4 linked regions of the Tamandua tetradactyla genome follow. The protein of the gene in region 1 purifies or fractionates together with the protein of each later gene. This does not show direct contact. Links are inferred from orthologs where the notes say so. Each region holds a gene or a part of one and is shown in the gene's direction. Other genes may lie near its edges. The genes, in order: ISG15, ENO1, HSPB1 and HERC5.

Region 1 (5,923 bases):
GAAGCCTCTTCTCCTCTCTGAGACCAACCCTTCTCCGACAGGCTCTAGTCCCATGCGTCCTTCGGGAAGCCCTCCCTGATCCCGGCCTTAAACTGGCCCTAACTCAGGCCTCTGCAGCTGTGGCTAGCCCGGGGCCAGGCGGGGGAAGGTTCTGGAGCTGAGCGACAGCGGCAGATAGAAGAGACCGTGTCCTGGCTTCCTGTCAGGAGGGGTGCTCAGCCTGTCCCTTCGGCGAAGACACAGCACCGGGAGAGATGTTTCCTGTGCTGCGGACTCGGGGGCTGGAATTCAGCCTGGAGATGCGGCAGCAAGAGCCTGTGCCTCGTTTGTGTGATGGTTTCACAGAGGGGCACATGTCTAAACCCAACATCCCGTGTTCCGTAGGGGCAGTTTGTCGGATGTCAGTTGTGCCTCGTTCACGTTGTGAAGAGTCAGACTCAAGGCTCTCCCAGTCCTGAGCGTCCTGTCTGGTCAGCCTCACGGCCCTAGATTCAGGGGTGCTCAGTCAGACAACTGGATTTATGATTTTAAGAAGAAAGATAGGAGCATGCTGTTGAATTTGTTAACAAGTTAGGATATTCTAGAACTTAAGATTTATATGTTTAATTTCATTAAACTGACACGGCGCACTCAGCAGGGACAGATGCTTCTTCCTGTGCAGCCTCCACGAGCAGCTCCTGCTGGTGTACGGCCGCTGGGAGGGTGAGAAGCCGAGTGTACCTTGTCAGTTCTGTGGGGAGAGGAGAGTGTGTGTGCACGTGTGTGTGCATGCGTGCAGGTGTGCACGTGCGTGTGCATGTGTGTGCGTGTGTGTGTGTGTGCCTGCCCTTCTTTTTCCACTTTTAAACGGGATGGTCAGGAAAGTCCTCATCAAGTCGGCTTGGAGGGGGGAAGCAGTGTGGGGGGGTGTGAGTGTTCTGGGGGGGAAGCAAGTGCAGGGACCTGTGGAGGACAGGGGCGGAGTGGCACCTAGGGAAGGGTCCTGGTGCCACTGGGTGGAGGGCAGACTCGGGGGCAGTGGCAGGGGAGGGGTCTGCGGTCACCGCAGGGAGAGGTGAGGGCCGGGTCTTCAGGGGACGGCGCTCGGGCAAGGGTCCCTGTGGTGCTGCTGGGCAGGTGAGGGACTCGAGAGCAAAACCAAGCCAGCCAGGCATTGCTGGGGCCGAGCGTCCTCTCCCAGGAGCTGCAGGTGGGACCGTGTCTCCTCGGGTGCCTGCTTGGCCTGGAGCGGCCTGGGGCCTGGAATCCACACAGCGGGGGCAGTTTGGGGCAGACCTGGGCCCTGCCAGGCCTATTCCTGACCCTCAGAAGCTCCTTTGGCCACCATGGGTAGGGGTGATTTGCTGTGTAGCAAGCGATAAGCTGTGCAGGCCTAGAATCTCTTTTCTAAGCCCAGCGAGCACAGAAATTCTGTATCCTGTGCCTGGCAGTTCTGGGAGCTGCAGTTATCAAGGTGGGCGCCCTGGGCCAGGAGGACCTGCCTCTCACCTCTGCCTCGAGAGCACCTGCAGCTGCGCCCCCCCCCCACAAGCTTCCTTCTTTCTGCCCTCCCTCCTCCTCGCTCCCTCCCCCTCCTCTTCCCCCTACTTCCCCCTCCTCCTCTCCCTCCTCCTTCTCCCCCTTCTCCCTCCCTCCTCCTCCTCCTCCCCTCCTCCTCCCCCTCCTCCCCCTCCTCCCCTCCTCTCTCCCTCCTCCTCCTCCTCCTCTTCCCTCCTCCCCACCCTCCTCCCTCTATCTCATCTCTTGGCCTGTTCTGCTCAGTACCAAGGCCTTGTCTTCAAGTTCCCTGGGCCAGGATGGGGGTATAACTCCAGGACCCTGGTTCCTGGGTGGCACTGGCCTCAGGATACACCTCCCTCGGAAGGCGCTGGTGCTGCTGTGTTGCCCGGCTGTGGCCGCTTTGCTGGGCAGGGACCGGGTCATTTTGGGGTTCTTCCTGAGCCACCTGCCTGGAGCCCGGCAGCTCTTCCAGCCCTTGGGTGGGTGTTGGTTTCTGTGGCTGTGTCAGTTTTTAGTGAGAGGGGGGTACTCTCCAAAAAGGAGAAGTCCCGCAGATAGAGCACAGGAGCCTAAGAAAAAGTCTAAAATTTTGAATTTGTAACTTAAATATATTCAACATAAACTTTAAAATATCTAAGTAGGCAATTCTAACTTTTTTGTGTTGGAAGGGTCTGTCGCTAATATGGGGTAGGGAGATGCATCTATTTGATGTTCTGGAGAGGTTGGGCTCTCTAGGTCTCAGGACTTATCTGGACTAGGGACCCATCTGGAGGTTGTAGGTTTCTGTAAAGTTACTCTAGTGCATGGAACCCTTGTGGAATCTTGTATATTTATTGCCCGAGGAGTTCTTTAGAATTGGCTGGAACGGTCCTGGTTGGGGGTTGGCAGGTTATGACAGGTAGCAAGGTCTAACTGAAGTTTGCGTAATAGCAACCTCCAGAGTAGCCTCTTGACTCTGTCTGAACTCTCTCTGCTCTGTTTCTTGTAAGCCTGCGGTTTTCTTCTCACAATAGCAATACAGTTTACGCATGGGAAGAGTCAAGATATAAATTTAAAATAATAGAAAGAACGAAATTAAACATCCCCTCAACAATTTTGAGGTCCATGTGCCTTTTTATGATGGGGAGAGGGTCCAGGGTTCATAGGCAGAACAATTATGCTTTTTCCACCTTTTTTGTTTCCAACTTATTTTAGGCTAACTTGTACCTCTTCTGTGCTGTTTCTAATGGTAAAAAATAGAGCCATCCACATATCCAATAGTGGGGAATTGGTTAACTGAATTACAGTCTATTCTATAATTGATTCATTATTCTGTGCGGAGCATATGCAGCCATTCAAAAAACCTAAAATGTATCTGTCAGCCTCTCAGATATTTAGGATACACCTTCCCATGAGCCAAACAGGGCCCAACACAGGGAGGCCGATAGTATGCGTTTGTATTTTTTTTTTAATTGAGGGGAAATTTATGTATCACAAAACTAATCGTTTTAAGGTGAGAGGTCAGAGCATTTAGCACATTCACAAAGCTGTGCACCGCCACCTCTGTCCGGGCCCGAGCCCCTCCTCTGTGGGGCAGGGGCGCTCCTTTCCCAGCCCCACAGTCGGGAGCCCCCGTCCCACTCTGGTGGTTTGAGGCTGTGCGCCCAGAAAACCTCACCATCCTCAGGCCAGTTGTCCCCCATGACGGTGGGCCTGTGGGGTGTCACTTCCAAGGGGCTGCCCCAGGTGGGGCGACACCCTGCAGCCTGCAGGGGTTCCAGGAGGCGGACAGCAGGACGCGGGACCAGAGAAGAAGCTGGAAGCAGGCGCCGGGCTGTGCCACAGAGGGCGCCAGCCCACTCTAGACGTTCCCACGGCCTCCGCCTCTTGTGACAGCCAACCCGTCTCTGGTCGGCCGTCCCTTGGCCGCCTCAGCCAGCCAAGGCAGTGCCTATCGGTTTGGCTGTTCCGTACTCTCGTCTAAATTGTCAATATCACGGGGCCTTCGGCTCTGGGCCCCTTGCACTGGGCATGGTGCTTTGAGGTTCTTCCACTTAGCAGCAGTCGCAGCACCTCATTCCCTTCGTGGCTGCGTAATATTCCATTGTCGGATGTTGTGGGGTGAGACGCAAGCCCCAGAAGACATGCTCCAGTGCCCCTCTGCCCAGCGTGGAAATAGCACTGGGGGTCCCGACCCCTAGTGCTGGCACGCTTTGCCGAAGGAAAAGGTGGAATGAAGGAAAAGGTCCCCGTGGTCGAAGTCCAGCTCCCCAAGACTGCAGCCAGCAGCCTTCTTTGGAGACCTTGATGGGCTCGTGCCCTGCTGGGCGCACCCCCAGGGCACCAGGAGGGCAGGGGCCACTTGCTCCGAGCCTCTGCAGGCCACCGGGCCCTGGGAAGGCCGCAGAAGCCGAGGAGCTGCCGGGCGCCCCACAGCCACTGCCCACTGCTGCCCCAGCTCCGCACCTCCATTCTCCGGTGGCGTGGGGCACCCCACACGCACCCCTGGTGTGGGGTGCCACTCGCTGTGGTCTGAAAGTGCATTTTGCTAGTGGCTAACGATGTCGGTCAAACCTCCATCTTCTTTGAGAGATGTCTGTCAATGCCCGTTTGCGTTGGGTTGCTTGTCTTTTTGTGGTTGACTTGTAAGGCTTCCAGACCCTGATCAGATACAGGATTCGCAAATATTTTCTCCCATCCTGTGGGTTTGGTTCACTTATTTGATAATGCCCATAAGTTCATTTTTGTGCAAAATGAAAAATAAAGCTCTTCATAAAAAGAGAATCTGAATATATACTGTCCTAAATCCACGGCGAGGACCTGTGTGCACTTTGGATTGTGCTTTCCCTTTTTGTGCCTGAATAAGCTGGCAACGCCTCCCGCGTTCACTCACTTGCGGGGAGTACAATGCGAGCCGGCGTTGGCAGGCACTGGTTCCCGGCCTGGGATCTCGCTAAGGCCGGGAAGCGCCCGCACCGGAGCTTTCTGCGGGGACGGGGCGGGGGCTGCCTGGTGTCTGTTTTGGTTTTGCGTCCGCGGGGGCACGGCTTGGGAAACGGAAACCGAAACCGAAGCGGCCGGGGCGGCCGGTGCCTCCGCGCCGACTCCACCCCGCGTGTGACGTGAGCGCCCCGGGCCATAAAAGGGCTGCGCCGGGCTGGGGCCGCTACGAGACTCGAGGAGCTGAGCGGCCGGCGGGAAGCAGTGTCCGGGACCTCGGTCTGGAGGAAGCAGCAGCCATGGTGAGGCGGGGGCCGGGGTGGGGGGGTGGGGGGCTCGAGCCCTAAACCCCTTGGGGGAGGCCGCAGTGTCTGAGCGCTCACGCTGTCCCCGCAGGGCAGGGACCTGACAGTGAAGATGCTGGACGGCAAGGAGTTCGCGATGCCCCTGAACGACTCCACGATGGCGTCGGAGCTGCGGCAGCAGATCGCCCAGAGGTGGGGCGTGCCGGCTTTCCAGCAGCGGCTGGCGGTGCACCCCAACGGCGGGGCGCTGCAGGATGGGGTGCCCCTGGTCAGGCAGGGCCTGGGCCCCGGCAGCACGGTCCTGCTGGTAGTGCAGAGCGCTGACGAGCCCCTGAACATCCTGGTGAGGGACAGCAGAGGTCGCAACAGCTCCTACGAGGTCCGGCTGGGGCAGACCGTGGGTGAGCTGAAGCAGCAGGTGTGCCGGCGCCAGAACGTCCAGGCCGACCTCTTCTGGCTGAGCTTCGAGGGGCGGCCGATGGAGGACCCACAGCCACTGGGGGAGTACGGCCTCGAGTCCCAGAGCACCGTGTTCATGAACCTGCGTCTGCGGGGGGGTGGGGCGCGGCCCGAGGTGCTGCACTGAGGCTCCCTGCCCAGTTGTAATCCCACCCCGACCTGAAGCCTGGACAGTCAGGCGACAGTAATAAATGCTGACCCACACCGAGAAGCAGGGGCCTCGCATGTCTTCTCACCTTGTCCTAGCATCCCTGTGTCTGCCCCTGGCACCCCATTCTCGTGTCTGTCTGGCCCAGGGTGGCTCATGTTGGTAACCAAGGGGCAGGACCTCCCAGTCACAGGGTCAGAGCCTGGTGGCAGCAGATCGGTGGCCTTCTCCCCTCCGCGGACACTACAGACAGCTGCCCCCGCGCGCTGGGGACGCCCTCCTCTGAGGGAGAGAAGGGTTGCCGTCGGCCGTGTGAGCTCTGCAGGCCCTGCCCAGCCTCTGCACACCTGGGGCCTCAGAGCCCCCCAAGAAGATGGTGGACATGGGCCCTGGCCTGATCGGGTGGGTTGTGAGGGAGCTAGGGCTCAGGGGTCAACAAGAGAGCCCCCACCTCCTTCAGGGCTGAGCAGACCCACTTACTGGAGAGGCCATGGCCTTCCCAGACGGGGTGGCTCCCTTGGGCACATTGACAGCCCCTTCCTCACAGGATGCTTCTTGTCCCCTGATTCTGTGCCAGTTTCCCAAATGGGGC
Region 2 (7,449 bases), about 7.3 Mb from region 1:
GCACATCAGCGCTACACTGGAGGGCCATTTTAAACAACAGAACCACCAAAACATAAAGCACACAAAATGTGGAAAATGTGGCACTAAAAATACTGCAAATAAAGGATTCCTGGAACAAGAAGGCAGAACGTTGCCTTGCTCAGCCCCAGCTGGAAAGGTACGTGATGGGAGACTCAAATTTTTCACCATCTGCTCATGTCTGTGAATGAGCCTGAAAGTGCAGTGAATATTGATTTGGGTGACAAATAAATTTTAATGAGCAGTGAATTTGCAAATACAGAATCTACAAATAATGAGGATCAAGTATTGTGCCGTTTTGAATCTTTATGCAGCCCAGAAAAGACTGTCCTTTTAATCATTTTTGTGGGGGTAGAACTGTGGTTGGGTGGGACCTTTTGATTAGGTTGTTTCCGTGGAGACGTGGCCCAGCCCATTCAAGGTGGGTCTTAATCCCCTTGCTGGGGTCCTTATGAGAGGATAAAACACAGAAACATCAAGAGACAGGGGGTTAGAGAGAAAATGCCCTAGTTGAAACAAGCAAGGACCCACAGGAGCTGAGAGGGAAAGCCATTGAAACGAGAACCAGGGGAGAAGGAGCAGCAGACATCACCACGTGCCTTCCCATATGACACAGGAACGCTGGATGCCAACAGTCCACTGTGACGTGCCCCTGCCGGGCAGAGGTCTGGAGTCCAGGCCCCTCCTTAGCCACCTTTGATGTTGATCCTTGGCCCTGCCAGCTGCATTCAGAGGGCAAAAGCCCGCTTAGGCTAAGAAGTCCTTCCGAAGGGGCTCTGGGCCTGGCCAGCGCTCAGAAGGCCCTCAAAAGGGGGCAGTTGATCTGCAGGCCCCTGCCTGACCTGATTAGTCCAAATTCTGAACCAGCCATTCACTAGTGGAGCTGCCCCGCCTGCCCTTGCTGAGCTGAAACACTGGGCAGGCAGTCGCCCGGCTCCCCAGGACAAGGCAATGGCCCCTCACCGAGCCCCTTCTGACCCGCTGTGAATCTACCCAATGGCTCTTCAGGTCAGTCTGCATTTTCCTTCCAGCCACATGCTGGGCTGAAATCTATTCTCCCCTTGCATTTTCCTGACCAGATGGAGAAAACAGAAGAAGGGAAAAAAAAAGAGATTAGAGAATTCCAATGCAGGAGGTCTAAGAACCTCACATCAAGGAAACTGTCAGGGGTTGGGGAAAATTAGGGTTTCTCCCCCTTTGTTTAGGAAAGGCAGAAAATGTCATCTTGAGTGTGGGACTGGGGACATTTTGTCATAGGAACACAATACAATGTATCTAACTCTCTGATCTGTGCAAGTAGCTTTATCCTTCCAGCTACAAGTTTGTTCTTGAAAGAATACAGATATGAAGGCCATATGATGATGTTTCTCAAATCCTGAAGCTGCTGCAGATGAATTCTATTTTGGGTTGTATTCAAGGGGAAGCTGTTCAAATTAAGGGAAGGCTCCTTGGACTCCATTCAGTTTTGCAGCCTCTTACCCACATCTTTCATCTTAGAGGAACAGGAGGCTGAACGGTTGGGGCTAAGTCTGCCTCGGCTGGTCCCCCAGCACCTCCACCCTCCAACTGCAGACTTAGCAAGCCAGGCAACCTCTCTGAGCTTTGAAAAGTGGAGATGATCAGAGTGGAATCCGGTCATGAACTCGGTGAAGGGATGTAATGGCTAATGCACATATGAGCCTCTGCTCGCTGGATGCCTGCTTCTTGTGTTCCCCATCCCTCTGCACCTCTGTTGCCAGGCTTCCTTACTTTCATCTCCTCCCTGGGGCACTGTGCTCCCCATCTGTCTCCCTAAATGTACACTGGGTTTCTAGGGTAGGTTTGGCCAGTCCCTGATTCCCACAGTTGACTGGTGAAGTCAGCCTTGAAGAAGGCACGGGAGGAGGCTGAGGATGGCAGAAAGCCCTAATATGTACTTCAAAACCACCTACGGTTGAGTATTGACAGCAGTCTACAGAGAGAAAACATGGGCTTCTTTTTTAAGTGAAGGACTTGAAAGGGTGTCAGATTAAGAATGCAAGGAGATTTAATTCCTTAAAAAAAAAAAAAAAAGAAAAAGAGAAGAACCGAATTTGATTTTATTTTACCAAACTGAATCAGAACGCATACATACAGAGGTATAAACACTTTAGATAAGAAAGCTGAGATGTGTACATCCTACCACCCAGCAATTTCACATCCAGGTGTGCTTCCTAGAAACTCTTGCACATTTGCTCAGCTATAACAAAGTTCATAGCAGCATTGTTTATATTAGCAAGGATAATAACTGCAACCAACCTAAAGGTACATTGACAGGAGCATATGTGACCTTTACGCAGAGGAATGCCATATAGCACTGAAAATGAGCCGTCCACAGCTACACTGATGGATCTCACCAACATCAAGGTGAACAACAACAACAACAAAAAAAACAGTAGAAAAAGGCTTCCAACAGTAAAATTCTATCAAGTTTCTATCAAGTTCAAAAATTATTTTAAACCCTAAATAAAACTAAGGCCAAGGAGGAACAGATACCCAAGGGACTTGAATGAAATTGCAGATGTTCCATTTCTTAAACAGGTAGCGGGTACATAAATGTTCAGGTATTTTATCATATAAATCGTATACAGTCTTTGATACGTTTTTAATATTTAAGGATAAGCAAACAAACACAAAAACCCTCTATCTGTTATGAGGGTTCATCTGCCGCCATTAGCTGAGGACCTCCTGCAGGCCCCTCATCATACCGTAAAGTTTCCCATCTGCCTGGACACCCACCTTCAGAACAGCTGTATCACTTTTTCAGTAGACCAGTGTTGCACAAAACACAGATGAAATCAGTAATCCAGGTGTGTTGTCAATTGCTGGAGATTCACTTTCCCTTAAACCTCGTGTCCTTTAGATGGCCTTCAAGCACCACCTGCAAGGCTTCGCCAGGTGGTCTGCTCATAATACCTTGGACACTTCCTCCCCATCAGGTCCATGCCCCTGTGCTGCCCTGCAGGCAAAGATTAGCCCCATGGCCTATTAACAGAGCATCAGGAACCATGAAGATGGACAGGACATTTTGGCAGCCTGTGGATTTTTAGAGATTTGAGGGCATCTCCACTAATCATTAATGTTTCAGCTACAATTTGAGGTCGAAGTGCTAGCTCAGAGCACGGGGGTGGCTTCCAAGAATCTTGCAACAGCAGCTGTCTCATGTCATGATGCACTACATTTGATTTCCTGCTAGATGCACTGGTTCTGGCCAGAGAACTATTTTAAGAGCCATGTCTATCGTTATCTCTTTAACAATTCTAATGTAAAATTAAAGGGATTGTTTGGCATCCTTTCAGGACCACACCTTAAAATTGCTCTGAAAATAAAAGCTTTAAGGGTCTGATTTCCTTGGCGTTCTTACAAGGCTTGAGAGACGTTCGCTGTTGATTTAGCTGCTGAGTCATGGGGCTGGGATATTGGTTTTAAGCAGCCAGAAATGGCAGTGTACAGTTGGTGAAATCATAACCTCTGCTTGCAAAATCCATATCAATCTTTACTGAAATAGTTTACGATTTCCCTGTTTCTTTTCTTTTTTTTTCCTGAATTCAATCATAAAGTTCTTGCTTAGTTGTTGGAAAACAAATACGTGGACTCAGGAGGCCTTCTTAACCCTGTGCTTTGGAAACCTAAGCCAGCAGCTTGGGGGCAAAAAAAAGCTAATCATAAGAAATAAAGTAAATTATTTATTTAATATCTTTATGCACGGCAGTGTGTTAAATATAAAGACCATGCTGTTTTAGATCTCAGACTTAGAAATCAGGAGGGAGGGCCGTTAAGTAAATACAAAAATAAATGTATCGGAAAATAAAGCGATCATCTCAGGCCTTCTTTGGGGAGGCGCGTGTGTGTCTGTGTGTGCGCGAGTTGATTTTAAATGGACTATCCGTTTTTTTCTTGATCAGAAAATCAAAACCATTCCGCCCACCTCTTCTTGGTTTTCTTTTGCTAGACCAACGGGAATTACTACCTGCTTCGAGCAGTCCCCTCAGGGGGTATGTGAAATTCCATCCCTAAAGTCAGTCTTTGCTGTAGTTCAGGAGAACCTAGGCAGATCTCATCAGGGCCTACAAAGAGTAAAGGTGTGTGTGTGAAGTCTTCTGTCCTCAATGAAACAACACGAGAGAAGAATGAAATCCGCGCGGGGTGCACGCGGGCGTGCGGCACGCCGGAAGCGTGAGCTACAATGAAAAGTGAATCTGTCCTTCGGCTCCGTGCGTGGGATCCTCCACGCCCGCCCGACGCCGCGAGGTGAAGGAAACCCAGGTCACCTTGGCGGCGGCGCGCGCGTGGGGCCCGGCCGGAGCGCAGCGCGCAGGCGCGGACGAGCGCACGTGGACGCGGGCACGCGGCGCTGCGGCTCCCCCACCCCCTCCTCGCAGGCCCCCTCCCCACCCCAGGGTCGCGGCCGCTCAACGTCTCCACGCCGCCGGGGGCTCTCGGGCACCGCGCTCCGGGCCGGGCCGGGCAAGGGGGCGCCGCGAAGGTCATCAGCAAGGGCGTGCGGCGGCGCGGCTACGCCGAGTGCGTGCGGGACTCGGAGTACGTGCCGGAGCCCTCAGCCCTCATGCCCGCCGCCCCGCCCCGCCCCGCCCCGGCGCCACAGACCCCCGCCCCCCTTAGGGGCCCCGGCGGGAGGCGGAAAGGGAGGGCCGCGGAGGTCGGGGGCCCTTCTTGGGGTTTGAGTCTCCCGAGTCCCCAGCCTAGGCCCAAGTCCCCAGGCCTCCCGACCCCCTTCCCCCCTTTCTCAGCCTCAGCGCAGGCCATAGTCCCGCCCCTCTCCCCGAGGAGGGGGCAGAGGGCACGATTGACGGAGCACTTGGCCAATGGCGAGGCGGCGCGTAGGGGGCAGGCCCGGGAAGGCGGGAAGTGGGCGGAGCTCCGGGCTGGCAGGAAGTCGGGGCGGCGGCGGGGAGAGGACCCCGGGCAGTCGGCGCGTGCAGATCTCGCCTGCTGACCCTGCTGCGGTGTTTGCAGCCCTCTCGGCTTCTCCCTCGGCATCGTCCCTCGTTCACGAGACCCGGCGGCCAGGTAAGGACCCCGGGGAAGGCCGCGGGCGAGCGCTCGGCAGGTGGAGCGTGGGTTTCTTCGCCAGGTCCCCTCCGCGGCGTGCCCGTGGGCGCGGGCGTGGACCGGAGGGCTGGACGGTTCCCGGGCAGGCGAGAGGTGCGGGCCGACGCGTGAAGATGAGTTGCTTGGAGGGTCGGGGGAGAACAGGCGACCGTCTAGTCCAGCGGGCTGGGGAGGAAAGGGAGCCTCTCTGTCAGGAGCCAAGTAAAGGGGTTAGTTAGAGGGGAGAAATGCAGGCTTCGCCAGGATTTTTAATTAAATAATTAAAGCCAGGCCCTGCCTAAAACGGGGGAGGGGTCTGGGAAACAGATGACCCGCTAGCTGCGGCCCCCTCCCCCACCAGCAGCCTCTGTCCCCCGCTGGTGGCTCCCGGCCTGTAGGTCAGCGGCGTGCTGTCCAGCCCATCGCTGCTCCGAAATCAGACAGCTCGTGTAGCTTAAGAGGGTACTTTTTTTTTTTACAGTAATTGATTTTCTTCTGTCGAAAGAAGCCCCCATTTTTAAGAATCCCTGCCTACCTAGGATAAATCCCACTTGATCATGGTGCATAATTATTATTTTTTTTTTTTAATTTTTTAAGAAGTTATAGGTTTGCAGAAAAATCCTGCAGAGCTGCCATCTGTAGCCCCAGTCAGTAACACCAAGAAGGGGCTTCTTTATTTTTTATTTATTTATTTATTTTTAATCAAAGGGCCGAAGAGCCGTTGAGTCATTGAGGAACCGGCCAGGAGACTCTGCCTAAGTCAGGCAGGATCTGCTTCCCACCTCTCTGCCGGCCACCCCCACTCCGGTACTGGCTGACATAAAAAGGAAGTATTTTGAAAACGCTTCCTGTTGGCTTCTCCCCGGCCATGTGGTCGCCTGGTTGCCTTGCCTCAGGCCCCTCGGGACCCCTCCTCCCCGTTAAGTTCAAACCAAGCCCCGTGAAGAGCGATCCTGGGAGGCGGTGTAATCAGATCAACCCTCTCCCAGTCTGTGCTCCCTAAAGTTTCATTACTTTTAAAAAATAGCTATCTACCAATTTTTTTTGTGGGGTGCTTGGGCACAGCAGGCGAGCATTCTACAGTTAGCTATCAAATTTAAAGACACACTTGAGTTGATTATGTTTTATGTCACTAAATGAAACGAAAAATTAGACCTTAGATCTGTGTGCTGTGCCACTGTGTTAAGGATGTATTTAAAAGTATGATTAAAATCTACAGTAGCAAAGGAAATTAGTAGTTGCCTGGGAATGGACTGCAAACCATTAAAGCTGTATAGTTTGTCAAAACTCATCAAACTACACACTTGAAGTGGGTGCACTTTATGGTATGTGAATTATTTCTGAAAGTTGGTTTAAAACAATATGTTTTAACAAATGGGCCTTTTTGGAAGCCAGTGGATAAAAGCTAGATGCCTTTTAATTGACTAATGAATAAACTCCATTATTACATAGAAAGGAAAGCCACAGAAGTGAGTTCAGTGTCTAATTTTGAAACTCAAAATTAAAAAATAAAGATAGGATGCCATGTGCTGCTTCAGAACATTCCAGAGAAGATGTTGGAGGGTAGCCGAGGGAAATAATGGTTTCTGAATGCTAATTTATTTCCTCTCATTCACTTAAATGTCATAACTTGCTGAATTACTTTTTTCTTTGGAGACCCCCTGGGGAAAAAAGTGAGAAAACGGCTTTCTTTGGGCACTTGCTGCAAATCTCTGTTTTTTTTTTTCTTTTAGGTGTTATTTCTCTCAGAATGTTGTAGCAGAAGATAGAATTTTCTATTTACAAATCCCAATAGTTTATAATTAGGTTTTTTTTATTATTATTTTTTTATTAATTAAAGAAAAAAGAAATTAACACAACATTTAGAAATCATTCCATTCTACATATGCAATCAGTAATTCTTAACATCATCACATAGATGGATGATCATCATTTCTTAGTACATTTGCATCAATTTAGGAAAAGAACTAGCAAAACAACAGAAAAAGATATAGAATGTTAATATAGAGAAAAAATAATAATAATAATTTTAAAAGACACAAACATACAAACAAACAAAAAAACTATAGCTCAGATGCAGCTTCATTCAGTGTTTTAAAATAATTACATTACAATTAGGTATTATTGTGCTGTCCATTTTTGAGTTTTTGTATCTAGTCCTGTTGCACAGTAATTAGGTTTTTTAAATGGGCAAAATGGCCTTCGGAAGAAAGGGCCGTGTGTCCCACTACAGGCCGAATGCTGCGGCATTCAAGAGCCCCCAAGCCTGTCACTTCTGAGCTCCAAGCTCAGAATTTCTAACTGAATATCTAACTGCTCCCAACTGAACAGCCTGCTGCTACTTCAAACATAATGAATTAA
Region 3 (6,270 bases), on another chromosome or scaffold:
CAAGGCAATGAGGCACAAGTGCCCGTGCCCAGCTAGGGTGTCCCAGCTCTGGGCCAGTGACCCCTGTCCCCTCCCTCTCTGAGATGCGCCTGGCCACCTGCTGCCCCTCTTGGAGCTGAGGATGCCCTCGGCAAAGGGGTCCCATCCTTCTCCAGGCCTCCCCTCCACCGGAGGAGGGCTCTCGGGGGGCCCACAGCCCGGGGGTGCCCCAGCCTCAGGGTCTCCCACTTCTGGCGCTGGGGGCTTCTCTCCCTTATCCCAAATCCATCCCAAGACAGGAATCTCCTCCCCACCTCCCGCAGCCCCTCCCCACCCCCACCCCCAGTCTCCTACAGGTTTAGGGAGGATTCCTACCCCCACCCTTTTTTCTCATCTTACTCTGATTTAAAGAGAAAGCAGCCCTAAATCACACCCAGGCGCAACAGGAGTGGGGGGTGGGGTGCCTCCACTCACTATATATACCCCCCCCCACCACTGCAGCATCAGACTGCAGAACAGGTCATTCAGGGGGCATGGGGGGAAGGAGGAGAGTGGAGGAAAAACTGTTGATTCATGGTTCTGGAAGGAGTCCAGTGGTCTCATTGTACAGATGAAGAAAATGAGTCACAGGGGGCCGGCCCTTGGCCAAGCTGTCAGAGTCCAAGACACCCCAGGTCCCCAGCCTCCCAGCTAAAGAGATTCTTTCTGCCTGACGGCAGGCGGGAGGGGTGGGAGGCTGCAGCACCAGTCTTCCCCACCGGCCCCCTGTGGTCCCTTCAGCAGCCTTGGGGGAAGGCAAGCAGAAGCCCAAGGCCTATGGGGTGGGGCAGGCAGAGATGAGCTTTCGGAAATAGACTCCCAGAGGCACACTGTCTAGACGCTTCTCGAAAGACCCATACAAACACACACACCATGCTATAATTACTACTGCTTGCATTGTCAGTTCCCAGCAGGCCCAGTGGACTGGCGTAATCCATCAGCTGTCAGGCCTCTCCAGGGAGATCAGACAGCTGCCTGAAAATTCTAGTACCTTCTCTGAGGCTGGGCCAGAGAGGGAGGGGCTGGCTCAACCACAATAGCAAAAGCCTGCCAAGGGTGTGGCTAGCATGCCCAAGGCCTCAGTGTGGGGGGGTGGGGGCTGGGGAGGCCGGGCATGGGGGAGGGGGCTGCTTTGGAGTGTTCCAGACTTTAGGAGAAGGGAAGAGAGGAGGGGCCACCTCCAATGCAGGAATCCCCAGACCCTACAGGGGGTAATGGGATGAGGGGACAACTATGACCTGTCCCTGTGGCTTCTGGGAAACCCTTGGGGAATAGAGTTGTCCTCTTTCTCACAGGAAAACTCCCCCTGGCAGCTCAGTGTCCGAGGACGCTGGAGTCACAGGTTGTCAAAGAGTTACTGGGTAGGTGGACGAGGGCAGAATGACATCCAGTCCCTGCTGCCTGCTAAGCCCTATGCCTGGGCACAGAGTACAGCCTCCTGGAGAAGTCTCGTGGTCAGAGCTCCTGGCCTGAGCTGGAAAGGACCACAGAGAACCTGGCCAAACAGGGAACAGGGGGTGCCCACCTCCTCTGCACCCTGGAAGCCCACAGCTCTCCCTGGGCTGCCTGGGAAGTTTCTCCCCTGCTGGACAGGGAATCAAGAGGCCTGAGTTCCAGTCTCTCCCCACCCATTACCAACTTTGTGAGGCAGGGTATGGGAACAATTCTGACCTTCGGTTTTCTCATCTGGGACTGCTAAGACACTCAGAAGCTGTAAAGCACATGCAACTTATTCTGTTACTATCCAACGTTAGAGACCCTCTTTCCTAAGTAACACTGGAAAATGCAGAGCTGGCAGGAGGAGAGTCTCAGCCCCAGGACAGGGGCAGCTAACAGAGGGAGTGTGGGAAAAAGAGGAACTGGGGGACCCCAAGCCAGGAGTCCCACAGAGATAAGAAAGAGCCCTGGGTACGAGGGAGACAAGAAGCTCAGCACTGCTGGTATTTCTTGGGGACAGTGGACATCACTTGGGGACAGTGGACATCATGCATTCGAGACCCACCGATGCCCTGCAAAATGGGTACATTTTGCAGATGGGGACATGTGAGCTTGCAGAGGTCACCAAGCCAGTCCTGTCTGACCCCAAAACCCAGTTTCTTACACCCCACACCCCACTCACCCACTCCCACGTGGCTCAAAGCCATCCATGTCCCCTCCCTTATGACTGGCAGCACATCTGCCCTGGTTTCAGCAAGATGAAGGGAGCTATGAAAAGGGCTTGTGTCTACAAAACGCTGGCAGCCAGGTAGGCAGCCCCCACCCAGAGCGTGGCTGGGCCTGGCAGGGCCACACTTGAAAGCACCCATGATTATATAGGGTGGGGTGCCCTGGACTCCAGTCTGAGCGAAGCTGGGCAGGCAGGGGCGGGTGAGGGCCCTCCTTGGCTACTGATCTCAGCCCGATTTTATAGAGCTGGGGATGAGTGGGGCTGGGAGTGCCAAAGAGCCAAGGCCTGGGACTTCCTGAAGCTGAGACCCTTGGGGGTGGCCTGTGGCTCCCTACTGAGACCCACTGGAGTCATGACATGATCCAAAAAGGGAGATGGGACAGAGAACGGGGTCCTGCCTGCCTCCCACCCTTGACCCCCCAGACCACTAGGAGATCAAAGGCCTTTCCAGAGGTGACCTCAGTTTTGTGACTCAACCCCAGCTCCTCTCTGCTGGGGAGCAGATGGATAAGAAGGAGAAGCACCTATGCGTCCTCTCTCAAAAGGGAAACTGAGACTCAGAGAGGGCATGAGACTTAATGCCCCCCCAGCCCATCAAGGAGAATGGCTGGGAGTCTGGCTCCCACCCCAGGCTGTCCCCTGAGTCTGGGCCTGTGCAGGCCAAGGGCTTAGTAGTCCCCTGCAGAGCTGGCAGGAGGAGAGTCTCAGCCCCAGGACAGGGGCAGCTAACAGAGGGGGTGTGGGAAAGAGAGGAATTGGGGGACCCCAAGCAGGAGTCCTACAGAGATAAGAAAGAGCCCTTGGTTTCCTCATTTAAAAAGTGGGGATAACTGGACTTAAGTCAGGGAGACGGAAGGCTGGAATGGGGTCACGCCTATGTAGGCAGGAGAAGGAGGATGTCAAGGGTATGGCAGGAGCCTATGAGCAGCCCCCTCCAGAAGTAGGATTTGGGGGTGTCGGGATGCCAAAGGATCAGCTAGAAGGGATGGGGTTATGGGCTGGGCCTCGGATGCCCAGCAAGTTTGAGCAACCACACTGCCTCGGGTTCCCCATCCCTTTGCACTGTGGGAATCAGAAGCAAGAGGCACTTGGAGCGTATAATATGCAAAAGGGGAAACTGAGGCCAGAGAAAGGAGAGGCCTTGCCCAAAACGACACAGTATATCAGCAGCAAAGGTCCGACTAGATTCAGGACTGCCGCCCTTCAGGTTGCCGGTCCAGTGCTCTTCAAGGAGAGAGAGACACAAGGGGAAGATTTGGCAGTGACCTTCCCCCTCTCTCCCCTCCTGTCATCAGACCCAGTGTTTCTGATCTGGGCCAGATCTGGGGGCTGGGGGCAGCGGGAGAATGGCCAAACCTGCACAGGCCACTTCCTCTGCAACAGGGCTGGGGCGTGGAGGAAAGAGAGTTTCCCACACACTCTCCTCCAGCCTCCTCCTTTTCTTCCATTCCCGGTAAACAATAATAATGAGTAATTATTACCTCCTGCCCCGAGCTAAAATCTTTCCTCACACCAGTCCAATGACGTCAGCATTATTGTTATCATTAATTTCTATTTTCCAGATGGGGAAACTGAGGCACAACGAGTCTGACGTGCACAGGTCGAATCAGTGAATGGTAAAACCACAGTGGGAACGCAGGCAGACTCCTAAAGGCTATCCCGAGTGCTTCTTAAGACATTTCACACACAGCCCGTGGCTCTAATGCTGGTTCTGCCACTCGCTGGCTGTGTGGTCCGAGACAAGGGGCCTGACCGCGCTCAGCTAGCTCCGTCCAGGGCTTTACCTCCCGGGCCTGCGATCGGTTGTCCGGAGGCGGGCAGTGCGCCAGCCTGGGCGCTCAGGTCATTTGTTTTCTTTACCGAGAGAAGTTTCCAGATGTGGGCAGGACCTTCCTCGTCCCGCCCCCGCAGCCCCCGGACGGTAGGAATGCAGGGGGCGGGGCCGCCCCCAGCCAGTCCTTGCCTTTAATAGAGACCCGAGACACCGCCTGCTAAAAATACCCGGCCCGAGAGCCATAAAAGCCCGGCTCACCCCGCGGCCCCGCACTTCTCGCAGCCGCAGCCCGACGCGCCGAGCCAGCATGACCGAGCGCCGCGTGCCCTTCTCGCTCCTGCGCAGCAGCCCCAGCTGGGACCCGTTCCGCGACTGGTACCCGCCCCACAGCCGCCTCTTCGACCAGGCCTTCGGGCTGCCCCGGCTGCCCGAGGAGTGGTCGCAGTGGTTCGGCCACAGCGGCTGGCCGGGCTACGTGCGGCCGCTGCCGGGGCCGGCGGTCGAGGGCCCCGCGGCGGCGGTGGCCGCGCCCGCCTACAGCCGCGCGCTCAGCCGGCAGCTCAGCAGCGGCGTCTCGGAGATCCGGCACACGGCCGACCGCTGGCGGGTGTCCCTGGACGTCAACCACTTCGCCCCCGAGGAGCTGACGGTCAAGACCAAGGACGGCGTGGTGGAGATCACCGGTGAGCACCCCCCACTGCCCCCGGAGGGCGGCCAAGTTAGGGGGCCGAGCGCGGGGCCTCTGGCCGGTCGACCCCGGAAAGGAGAACTGGGCCGGGGTGGGGGTGGGGGTGGGTGCCGGGAAAGTGACTGGAGGGGCCTGGGGAGTTCCGAAGTGGCCGAGGGCCGGGAGGCAGGAGCCCTGGGAGTTGGTCCCAGCCTGCCGCGGCCGCCTTGGGCGTTGGCCCAGCCCCCAGGCCTGGAACCTCCTGTAGGGTTCTGGGACGGGGAGCCCTAAGGGCTTTTTCAGCTCTGTTAGGGGTAGAAACGCCCTTTTCCTGGGGAGACGCTCCATCTCACCCCGCAAGTAATCAGATCTTCCTGCGCCCACCCATTGGGTGTGAGCCGCTCTGTTCCTGTCCCTAACCCGGCCAGTGCAGGGGGCGTGGCCCCACCGCTTCAAAAGGCATGAAACGAATGTTCCAGAAGTTTCTAAGGCCCGGGTGAATTGGGCTGTCCAACCCCTTCAGTCAATCAGCTCTGGCCTCGGGGGCCCTCTAGAGAGCAGATGACAGCCTGCCCTGGGGACGATGGGGGGTGCGAGAGACAGCCCCCCCCCCCCACCCCCAGCAGCCTCTGACCACCACCTCCCCACAGGCAAGCACGAAGAGAGGCAGGATGAGCATGGCTACATTTCGCGGTGCTTCACCAGAAAGTACACGTAAGTTTGGGGGCCAGACGGGAAGGGAAGAGGTCCCCAGGGAGGGGGACCTGAGAGGGCGTGCAGTGTGGGTGGATGTGTAACTCTTGCCTTCTTCCTGTGCGTGCCCAGGCTGCCCCCAGGTGTGGACCCTACCCAGGTCTCCTCCTCCCTGTCCCCTGAGGGTACGCTCACCGTGGAGGCCCCCGTGCCCAAGCCGGCCATCCAGTCTGCCGAGATCACCATTCCTGTCACCTTCGAGGCGCATGCCCAGCTCGGCGGCCCAGAGGCCGGGAAGTCGGAGTAGCCTGGAGCCAAGTAGAGGTCTTGGCCCTGCCCACCCAGAGTCCTTCCCAGCTGTCCCTGCCCGCCCACTGGATGCTCTTTTGATACGTTTTCTTTCTGTTTAAAATAAAAGTTGGGATTATCAGAATTTATTAACATTAGTGTCACTAAAGTTGGTATACAGCTCCTCACTGCTGAATTTGACTGGCTTTTTTTTAAAAAAAAGTAAAAGAAAGTTGGGAGAACTGCCCACCACTGCCTCAGACTCGGCGTTGTGGAGCCCTTGGGGCAAGTGCCACTTGCTCATGCACAGAGAGTGATTAAGAGAAGCAAATGATTGTAACCAAGTGATTAACTCAAGGGCCAAGTGCAGAACTAGGGGCACCTGACTCGGCCTTGCCCACTCTGGTACACCTAGCCTGGGGACAGGTGAACGGGGACAGCAGGGCCTGGGGAGACCAGCTTTCTGGGAGCGCACAGTCCTTTCTGACTTCACTGTCCTTGCAGAGAAGCAGGACCACCCAGAAGGCTGGGTGGAGGTGGGGTGCAGGCTGGCAACTCCAGGTCCCTTGCTGAGGGGCATAGCCTAGTCCCCTCTCCCCCAGGACCCACCTGTACAGAACGGGGCCTGGGTTCTCAGCGCCCCAGGGTGCCCTGCAGAGAGTG
Region 4 (7,571 bases), on another chromosome or scaffold:
ACTTCTATTTTTTTTTATTAATTAAAAAAAGAATTAACAAAACAATTAGAAATCATTCCATTCTACATGTACAATCAGTAATTCTTAATAAAATCACATAGTTGCATATTCATCATTTCTTAGTACATTTGCATCGATTTAGAAAAAGAAATAAAAAGACAACAGAATAAGAATTAAAACATTAATAGAAAGAAAAAAAAATCAACCACTTCTATTTTACCGTGGACAATAAAAAAAGAGAGAGGGCAAAAAGAAAAATTGTATTATTTCCTCAATAGTTGCAGAACAAAACATTGGATAAAATTCAACACCCATTCATGAAAAGTGTTCGTAGTAAACTAGGAGCAGAAAAGAACTTCCTCAACCTGAATAAGAGCCCCCATGGAAAGCCTAGCGCTGACCTCATAGTTAATGGTGAAAGAGTGAGTCTTGTTCCCACTATGACTGGACACAAGACAAGGATGTTCACTCTCAGGGCTTCTACATTGTACTAGATGTACTAGTCCACATAATAAAGCAAGGAAAAGAAAGAAAAGGCATACTAGCTAGGAAAGAAAGGATTAAAAGTGCCTTATTTGTAAAGAGTGGGAGAAAGATCAAAGGAGATGGTGGAGTTACAGAGAGAAGGTAGGGTTTAACACGAGTGTGATTGCTGAATCATTATACTGACATTTCTTTTAGTTTCCAGTATCATAGAGCAGCTCAAAGTAAAAACCTAAAGTTGTGGATTTACAACCCATACCGAACTCCGAAATCTGTTCTACAACTAATTGTTGTGCTGTGCTTTGAAATTTATTGCTTTTTTGTATAAATGTTATTTTTCACAAAACAGAAAAAGTCAATTTGTGATGACCAATGCACAACTATATGATGATATTCTAAACCATTGATTATACACTTTGGATGATTACGTGGTGTATGAATATATATCAATACAAAATCGTAATTCATATAAAAAAGTACCTTATTTGTATGTGGCATTATCATTGTGCCAGTTTGAAACTCTTATGTACCCCAAAGGGCAATGTTTTAATCCTGATCCAATCTCGTAGGGTCAGACCTATTGTTTGGGGTGGGAAACTGATTGAATTGTTTCCATGGAGATGTGACACACCCAATTGTGAGTATGGCCTTTTGATGTGACTCCACCCATTCAAGGTGGGTCCTGTTTAGTTTGCTAGAGTCCTTTAAAAGGGGCGACATTTTGAAGAAACCTCAGATGCAGATGCAGATGCTTGGAGAACAGTTGCCCCAGAGCTGACAGACATGGATGTTTGGCAATGCTTGGAGTTTCAACATAGAGAGCAGATGCCTAGACACAAGCAGAGCCCCGCATGTGCCTTCCCATGAGATGCTAAGCAAGCCAGAATCTTAAAAGCCAAGAAAAGCCAAGAGATGAAACCTAGCCCTGGAAAAGCCAAAAGAGGAACCCCCACAGGAACAGAGGCTGAAAGCAATGGAGCCCAGGGGCAGCGGACCCACAAAAGCCAGCCACACGACTACCCAGCTGACAGAGGTGTTCTGGGTGGCATCAGCTTTTCTTGGGCAAAGGTAACCTCTTGTTGGTGCCTTAATTTGGACATTTTTTCGGCCTTAGAACTGTGAACTTGCAACTTAATAAAGCCCCCTTTTAAAAGTTGTTCCATTGCTGGTATATTGCATTCCAGCAGCTTTAGCAAACTAATACAATTATCTATACAGAAAATTATAAGAGATCTACAAAAAAAAAACTAGAAATAATAAATTAATGTAGAAATATAAAGGATATAAGGTCAATATATAAAAATCAGTTGTATTCTATTCCTTAACAATAACCATAAAATGAAATTTTAAAAGTACCATTTTGAATATCATCAAAAAAAAATTAAGAAATACTTAAGGATAAATTTAACAAAAGATGTTTGTACCCTAAAAACTCTAAAATCTTTCTGAAATAAGAAGCTTTAAATAATGGAGGTATATTATGTTTATGGATCAGAAGACTCAGCATTGTTAGCATGCCAGTTCTTCTCTACTTTTTCATTAGCTCTAATGCAATCCCAATGAAAATTTTAGCAATTGTAGAAATTGATAACCTGACCCTAAAATATATATGGAAATAAAAACACCTGGAATAGCTAAAACCCAACATTGAAAAAGGACAATGTTGGATTTCTTGTATGAACTGATTGAGACTTTGAAGCTACAGTAATCAATACAGTGTGTACCTAAAGTAAATATAGATATAGATCAATAGAACAGAATAAAGTCCAGAAATAAATCCAATCATATGTGGCCAGATGATTTTTTTTCTTTTCTTTTACATGGTCCAGGAATCACACCCAGGTCTTCCACATGGAAGGTGAGCATTCTTCTCCCACTGAACCACCCATACACCTGGGCCAAATGATTCTTTTGACAAAGGCGGCAAGGCGATTTGATAGGGTAAAGGCAAGCTAGAACACTGGAAATACATAAGGAAAGAAAACGAACCTCTACCATTACCTTACATTATAAATAATAATAAATTTGAAATGGAGCCAACACCTAACACTACAAAACTTCTAGATGATAACATCTTTGTAAACTTGGGTTAAATAAAAATTTCTTAAATAGGACCTAAAATGGGCCTGAATTATTGTATTGGTTGAATTGTGTCGCCCAGATAGCATGTCCAACTCCTAAGCCTGGTACCTGTGAATGTGACCTTATCTGGAAACAGGGCCTTTGCAGGTGTAATTAAGTTAAGGATATCGAAATGAGATTGTCCTGGATTTAGGGGGGGCCTTTGATCCAATGACTGGCGTTTCAGTTGGCTAACATTGCCAAAATGCAATATACCAGAAATGGGCTAGCTCTTAACAACGGGGATTTTTAAAACTACAAGTTAACAATTCTTAAGGCCTTGGATATGTTCAAATTAAGGTATCAATAAGAGGATACCTTCGCCGAAGAAAGACCAATGGCATGTGGGTTTCCTCTGTCCCATGGGAAGGTGTCTGCTGGTCCTTTGCTCCTGGATTCCATTGCTCTTAGGTTTTGTGTCCTTGCTTGCTTCCCCAGGGACACCTCTCTGAGCTCTGTGTCCTGCAGATCTTAGCATTTCTCTCTCTCTACATCCTTCCCTTGGTTTCATTTCTTTGCTCTCTGTATCTGTCTTCCTGTGTTTTCTGCCTTTATTCTTTTCTTAGAGAACTCCAATAAAAGGATAAAAGCCCACCTTGAATTGGATGGGTCACATCTCCATGAAAACAACCTAAGCAAAATGTTTCACTACACAATCGCCACAAGAATGGATTAAAAGAACATAGCCTTTTCTGGGGGCACATAACAGATTCAAACTAGAACGACTGGTGTCCTTAAAAGAGAAAAGAAAGTAATATTTGAGACACAGAGGCACAGGGAAGGTGATATGAAAACAGAAGGAGAAGTTGCAGTTATATCACCACAAGCCAAGGAATGCTAGCAGCCACCAGAAGCTGTTAGAGGTAGGGAAGCTCTCTTTCCTAGAGCTTTGGAGGGAGGGGCCCTACCAAACCCTTGATTTTGGACTTTTGGCCTCCAGAATTGGGAACCAATAAACTTCTGTTGTTTTAAGCCACCAAGTGGCAGCCCTAGGAGACTAATACAAATATGTAAAAGAAAAAAAATGACCAATTGAACTTGATAAAAATTTAAAACTTTAGTTCTTCAAGACACATAATAAAACTAAAAGACAAATCACAGACAAGCAGAACACAGTTCAAAACATTTATTTAAGAAAAGGGTGTGGTATATAACATACAAATAACTCTAATGTATGATATAAAGAATTCTTTGATAAGATAATCAAATTTAAAAATGGGCAAAAAAATTTGAATATACATTTCATCAAAGAAGAGATAGAGGTAGAAAATAGGCACTCATAGACCATCGTTAGTTATTAGAAAAATGCAAATATAAACCACAATGAGATGTCACTACAGACCACAATTCCTAAAATTAAAAAGACTGACAATACCAAGTACAGGTTTGAGGATATGAAACAACAGGAACTCCCACACATTGCTGGAGGGAATGCTAAATGATACAGCCACTTTGGAAAACAGTTTGGTCTTTCTTATAAGAATATGAATACACCTACTATATGTCTTAGCAATTTCACTTCTAGGTATAACCCAATAGAAATGAAAATATTTGTCCAAAGACATCGCTATTCATTGTAGCCAAAAACTGGAAAGAACTGAAATGTCCATCAACTGGTAAATGGATATAAACACTGTAGTATATCCCTATAATGAAATGTCACTCAGCAATAACAAGAAAGAAGTACAGATTTTAAAACCGACAGGATGAATCTCAAAGGCATTGTGGTAAGTAAAAAAAAAAAGTCAAATATAAAAGACCACATACTGCATGATTCCATTTGAATCAAGTTCTAGAAAAGGCAAAACTACATTGACAGAAACAAATCACTAGCTGCCAAGGTAGGGTGGGGAGGCAGGGGGCGGCGGGGAGGGCTGACCATACAGCTCCCTGATGCAGTTAAGCCGCCATCCTGTGGACGAGCCTGGAACAGAAAGCTGAGCAAACTTTAGCGTCCATTTATCACAATATTTTCTAGAATTCCGTAAACCCGCATGTATCACGGCGCCTGCTAGTGGAATTGCCATGTTGTTCGAAGGTCATTCAGTCTGGGAGTTCTTTCTAGTGCCCATTGTGCCCCCGGAGACACCTTCTCCGTCCTGCCAAAGCCTGCCAGCGACCTGTTTATTTTCGTGGCCTCTCAAGCCAGTTTCTCTTTCGGTTTACTTTTTTTCTTTTCTATTTCGATTCCGCTTTCTCACGAAAAAAAATCACTTTCGTTTCCTAACTGAACTGTCAGCTCCGTCCGCAAACAGTGCGTTAGGAGCCTCGCTTCTGGGAAGAGGCGCAGATCGCGAGGCAGCAGCAGCGACCAGCGCCGCCAGTCAGTGCTCACCGCGACGCCCCGGGGGCACTGGACGCGCTCAGGTGTTGCTCATAGCCCCCTGTTCCATTTTCTTTGTGGCCAGCTGTAGCTCAGTTTCCCCCGAAGGACCAGGGACCGGAGGCGAGTCGGTGAGCGCGATGGGACCGAAGCTGCGGAGAAGGTCGCGGGACCGCGCTCACGGGGCGCCCAAGCCGGACCCCGGGACCTCGATGGCGCGCCCCAGCGCGGAGCTCTGGCTTTTCCCCAGTCCCGCGGGCCTCCGCAGCGCTTTGCCCCGGAGGCTGGAGGCAACGCGCCAGATCTGCTGCGCGCGCGGGCGCCTGGCGGTGCTGGAGCGTGGCGGGGCCGGCGTCGAGGTTCACCAGCTGCCACCGGGATGCGGTGGCGCCAGTAAATCGGGTGAGCGGCACCGGCATCGTCTCTTGGCCTACCCGCCTAGGGTGGGGGTTTCTGGTGAGGGCGCGCGGTGGACAACCTTGCCTGGGCAGGGCCCAGCACGGACACTTTTTAAAGGATCCGAGTTGGAGTGTGGGGCCTTTTCTAAGAGGGAGTAAAAGTTCAGAAGGGGACCAGGCCCTGCAACTGGTATCCGATTGTTACGCAAACTCTCCGGGTTTGGGTCGCTTGTCCCTTTGGCTCCTGTGGTCCCCTTTATCCCTGGCTCTAGTTTGCGCAGTTTGCAGAATGTTGATGAGAAATAGTGGAATCGTCCTTTCCACATCGACAGGGCATCGAGGGAGAAAAGGAATATAGACAGAATCTTCATCTTTCTTAGTCAAGTGTGCCATAATAATTGGTTCCTTTTCAAAAAAAAATTTTTTTCACTCCTTTTCAGGACATGTCCACTCTGAAGATGTGAGCCTTTGGAGAACGTCGTTATCTTATTCTCAATCATAGTATTTTATATTTATGAGCAATTTAAAGAATGCTTTGAGTTGAGCTTCTCTGACATCCTTATTTCTGTAGAGATTTGGTCAGGTATTGTGATTCCGATTTTACAGGCTGCGGAAAGTAAATGCCCACACTTTTAAATATATATATATTTTTTCAATATTTAATGTATGTAAAGTGTTGTTCCAGCCACTTTATATAAATTACCTTAATTATATAAATCACAATAATCTTATGATATAAGTGCTGTTTTCAGAGGAAAGCTATTATTCATATTCAGCTGAAGACACAAAGCTATTAAGTAATTTGCCCAGTGTCACCTAAATCCATGGAGCGTGGGGGAGACATTATGGAAATTGGATTCCATTTCCCATCATTTAAATTACTATTTTATAGTGATAAATTCACACTGATAAACAAGGTAAGATTGCTTCTGGAGTCCCAAAAATGCCTAGAGGGGTCAGGGAGCAGTTTATCTGTTGAATGCTAAAATTCCATGCCCCAACTTTATGCAAAATAGCAGAGATTTAATTTATATACAGTGAAAATATTCCAGAGAGGCATAATTCTTTTACTTTGGTAAGAATATAGTACCTGAAAAAGAGTTTAATAGCAAGATATTAGTCACTAAGGTTGTTGTGCAAAGAGGAGATTTGGAGAGGGAAAAACGTAGTGTTATGCCCACATGAAAGCAATATTACTAAATCCAATGTAGTTGGGTTAGTGTAGGTGGATTAACATTATCCAGGTGAAATCATTACAGAAACATAAAAATAATCTTATTGCTTTCGTGTGATATTTGCCACTTTTTCATAGGTTTGAAAATGCAAAATTTGGGAATTCACAACCTATACGTGGTATGGATTTCTTTTTAGGCATTGCATGTATTACGACAACTGCAGTGAAGTGAGTGTTGGTGTCTTTTAATGAAACATATGTCCAAGATCAGGTCATTCTTCTGTGTGAATAATGGAGAGGAATAGGAATATATAACAGGAAGAGCAACCTGCTTGAACTTTTTACATAAAACAGCCATGCCTTATAATAACCTAAATTGTATGCTAAACAGGAAATATGACTTTATTTCACAACTTAAAGAATAAGAAAATATTTAAAAATCGGTATTTAAAAACTCATAAATGTCTTCTTTTAATTGTCATAATCACTGCTTAAAATAATTCTATTTTTCCCAAAGCATGTCCTCCTATTCCCTTCTCAAGAATGGGATCTTCACTTTATTCTTAGTCCCTAAAAGGGCCTTGGGATCAAAGGCTCTTCAATGTTGAATGTGTGTGGGGGTATGTGGGGGGGTATGTGTTGAGAAAGAGAGGAAGAGCACATTGATGGAGTGTGTCCAATGTCCTTTTCATCAATTATGTAATCCTGCTACATAAACTGCTATAGTTGAGGCAGAGAAAGATTAAGTAATTGAATGCCCACACTCTTAGTCTTTAAAATTTGACCCATCCAACAAGTGGAAAAATGTTATCTTGCTGTTGTTTGCGTCTCATGTAACTTGAGTGAAATTCAGCATCTCTTTTCACTTCTCCATTGGTTGCTTGCATTCCTTTTTTGGTAAACTGCCTTGTCATATCTGCCTGGCTTTTTAAAATTTGAGTTGTTATTGAAATAGTTATTTGAATATTGAGTATAAATAGCTTTGTCCATCATGTACTGTCTATATTGGAATAATTTTCTTAGTTTGCCTTTTGTTGATGTTATTTTTTGCTATGCACAATTAACCATTTTT

Evidence for each region.
Region 2: the proteins of ISG15 (region 1) and ENO1 purify together in Homo sapiens (affinity purification with mass spectrometry; 4 studies listed by BioGRID, with this or other methods). This does not show direct contact. The link is inferred for Tamandua tetradactyla from reciprocal best matches to the Homo sapiens genes ISG15 and ENO1.
Region 3: the proteins of ISG15 (region 1) and HSPB1 purify together in Homo sapiens (affinity purification with mass spectrometry; 3 studies listed by BioGRID, with this or other methods). This does not show direct contact. The link is inferred for Tamandua tetradactyla from reciprocal best matches to the Homo sapiens genes ISG15 and HSPB1.
Region 4: the proteins of ISG15 (region 1) and HERC5 purify together in Homo sapiens (affinity purification with western blotting; 3 studies listed by BioGRID, with this or other methods). This does not show direct contact. The link is inferred for Tamandua tetradactyla from reciprocal best matches to the Homo sapiens genes ISG15 and HERC5.

What each region holds. Positions count from the first base shown.
Region 1 is NC_135328.1:223,814,942-223,820,864, reverse strand, and holds ISG15 (ubiquitin-like protein ISG15), read left to right. Parts: upstream 1-4,479; 5' UTR 4,480-4,718; coding exon 4,719-4,721; intron 4,722-4,815; coding exon 4,816-5,310; 3' UTR 5,311-5,397; downstream 5,398-5,923.
Region 2 is NC_135328.1:216,491,736-216,499,184, forward strand, and holds the start of ENO1 (alpha-enolase), read left to right. Parts: upstream 1-4,444; 5' UTR 4,445-4,578; intron 4,579-4,908; exon of another isoform or gene 4,909-5,013; 5' UTR 5,014-5,067; intron 5,068-7,449. UniProt on the Homo sapiens protein: Glycolytic enzyme the catalyzes the conversion of 2-phosphoglycerate to phosphoenolpyruvate. In addition to glycolysis, involved in various processes such as growth control, hypoxia tolerance and allergic responses.
Region 3 is NC_135349.1:10,412,015-10,418,284, reverse strand, and holds HSPB1 (heat shock protein beta-1), read left to right. Parts: upstream 1-4,084; 5' UTR 4,085-4,266; coding exon 4,267-4,642; intron 4,643-5,276; coding exon 5,277-5,340; intron 5,341-5,451; coding exon 5,452-5,626; 3' UTR 5,627-5,756; downstream 5,757-6,270. UniProt on the Homo sapiens protein: Small heat shock protein which functions as a molecular chaperone probably maintaining denatured proteins in a folding-competent state. Plays a role in stress resistance and actin organization.
Region 4 is NC_135350.1:38,226,245-38,233,815, reverse strand, and holds the start of HERC5 (E3 ISG15--protein ligase HERC5), read left to right. Parts: upstream 1-4,566; 5' UTR 4,567-4,629; coding exon 4,630-5,329; intron 5,330-7,571.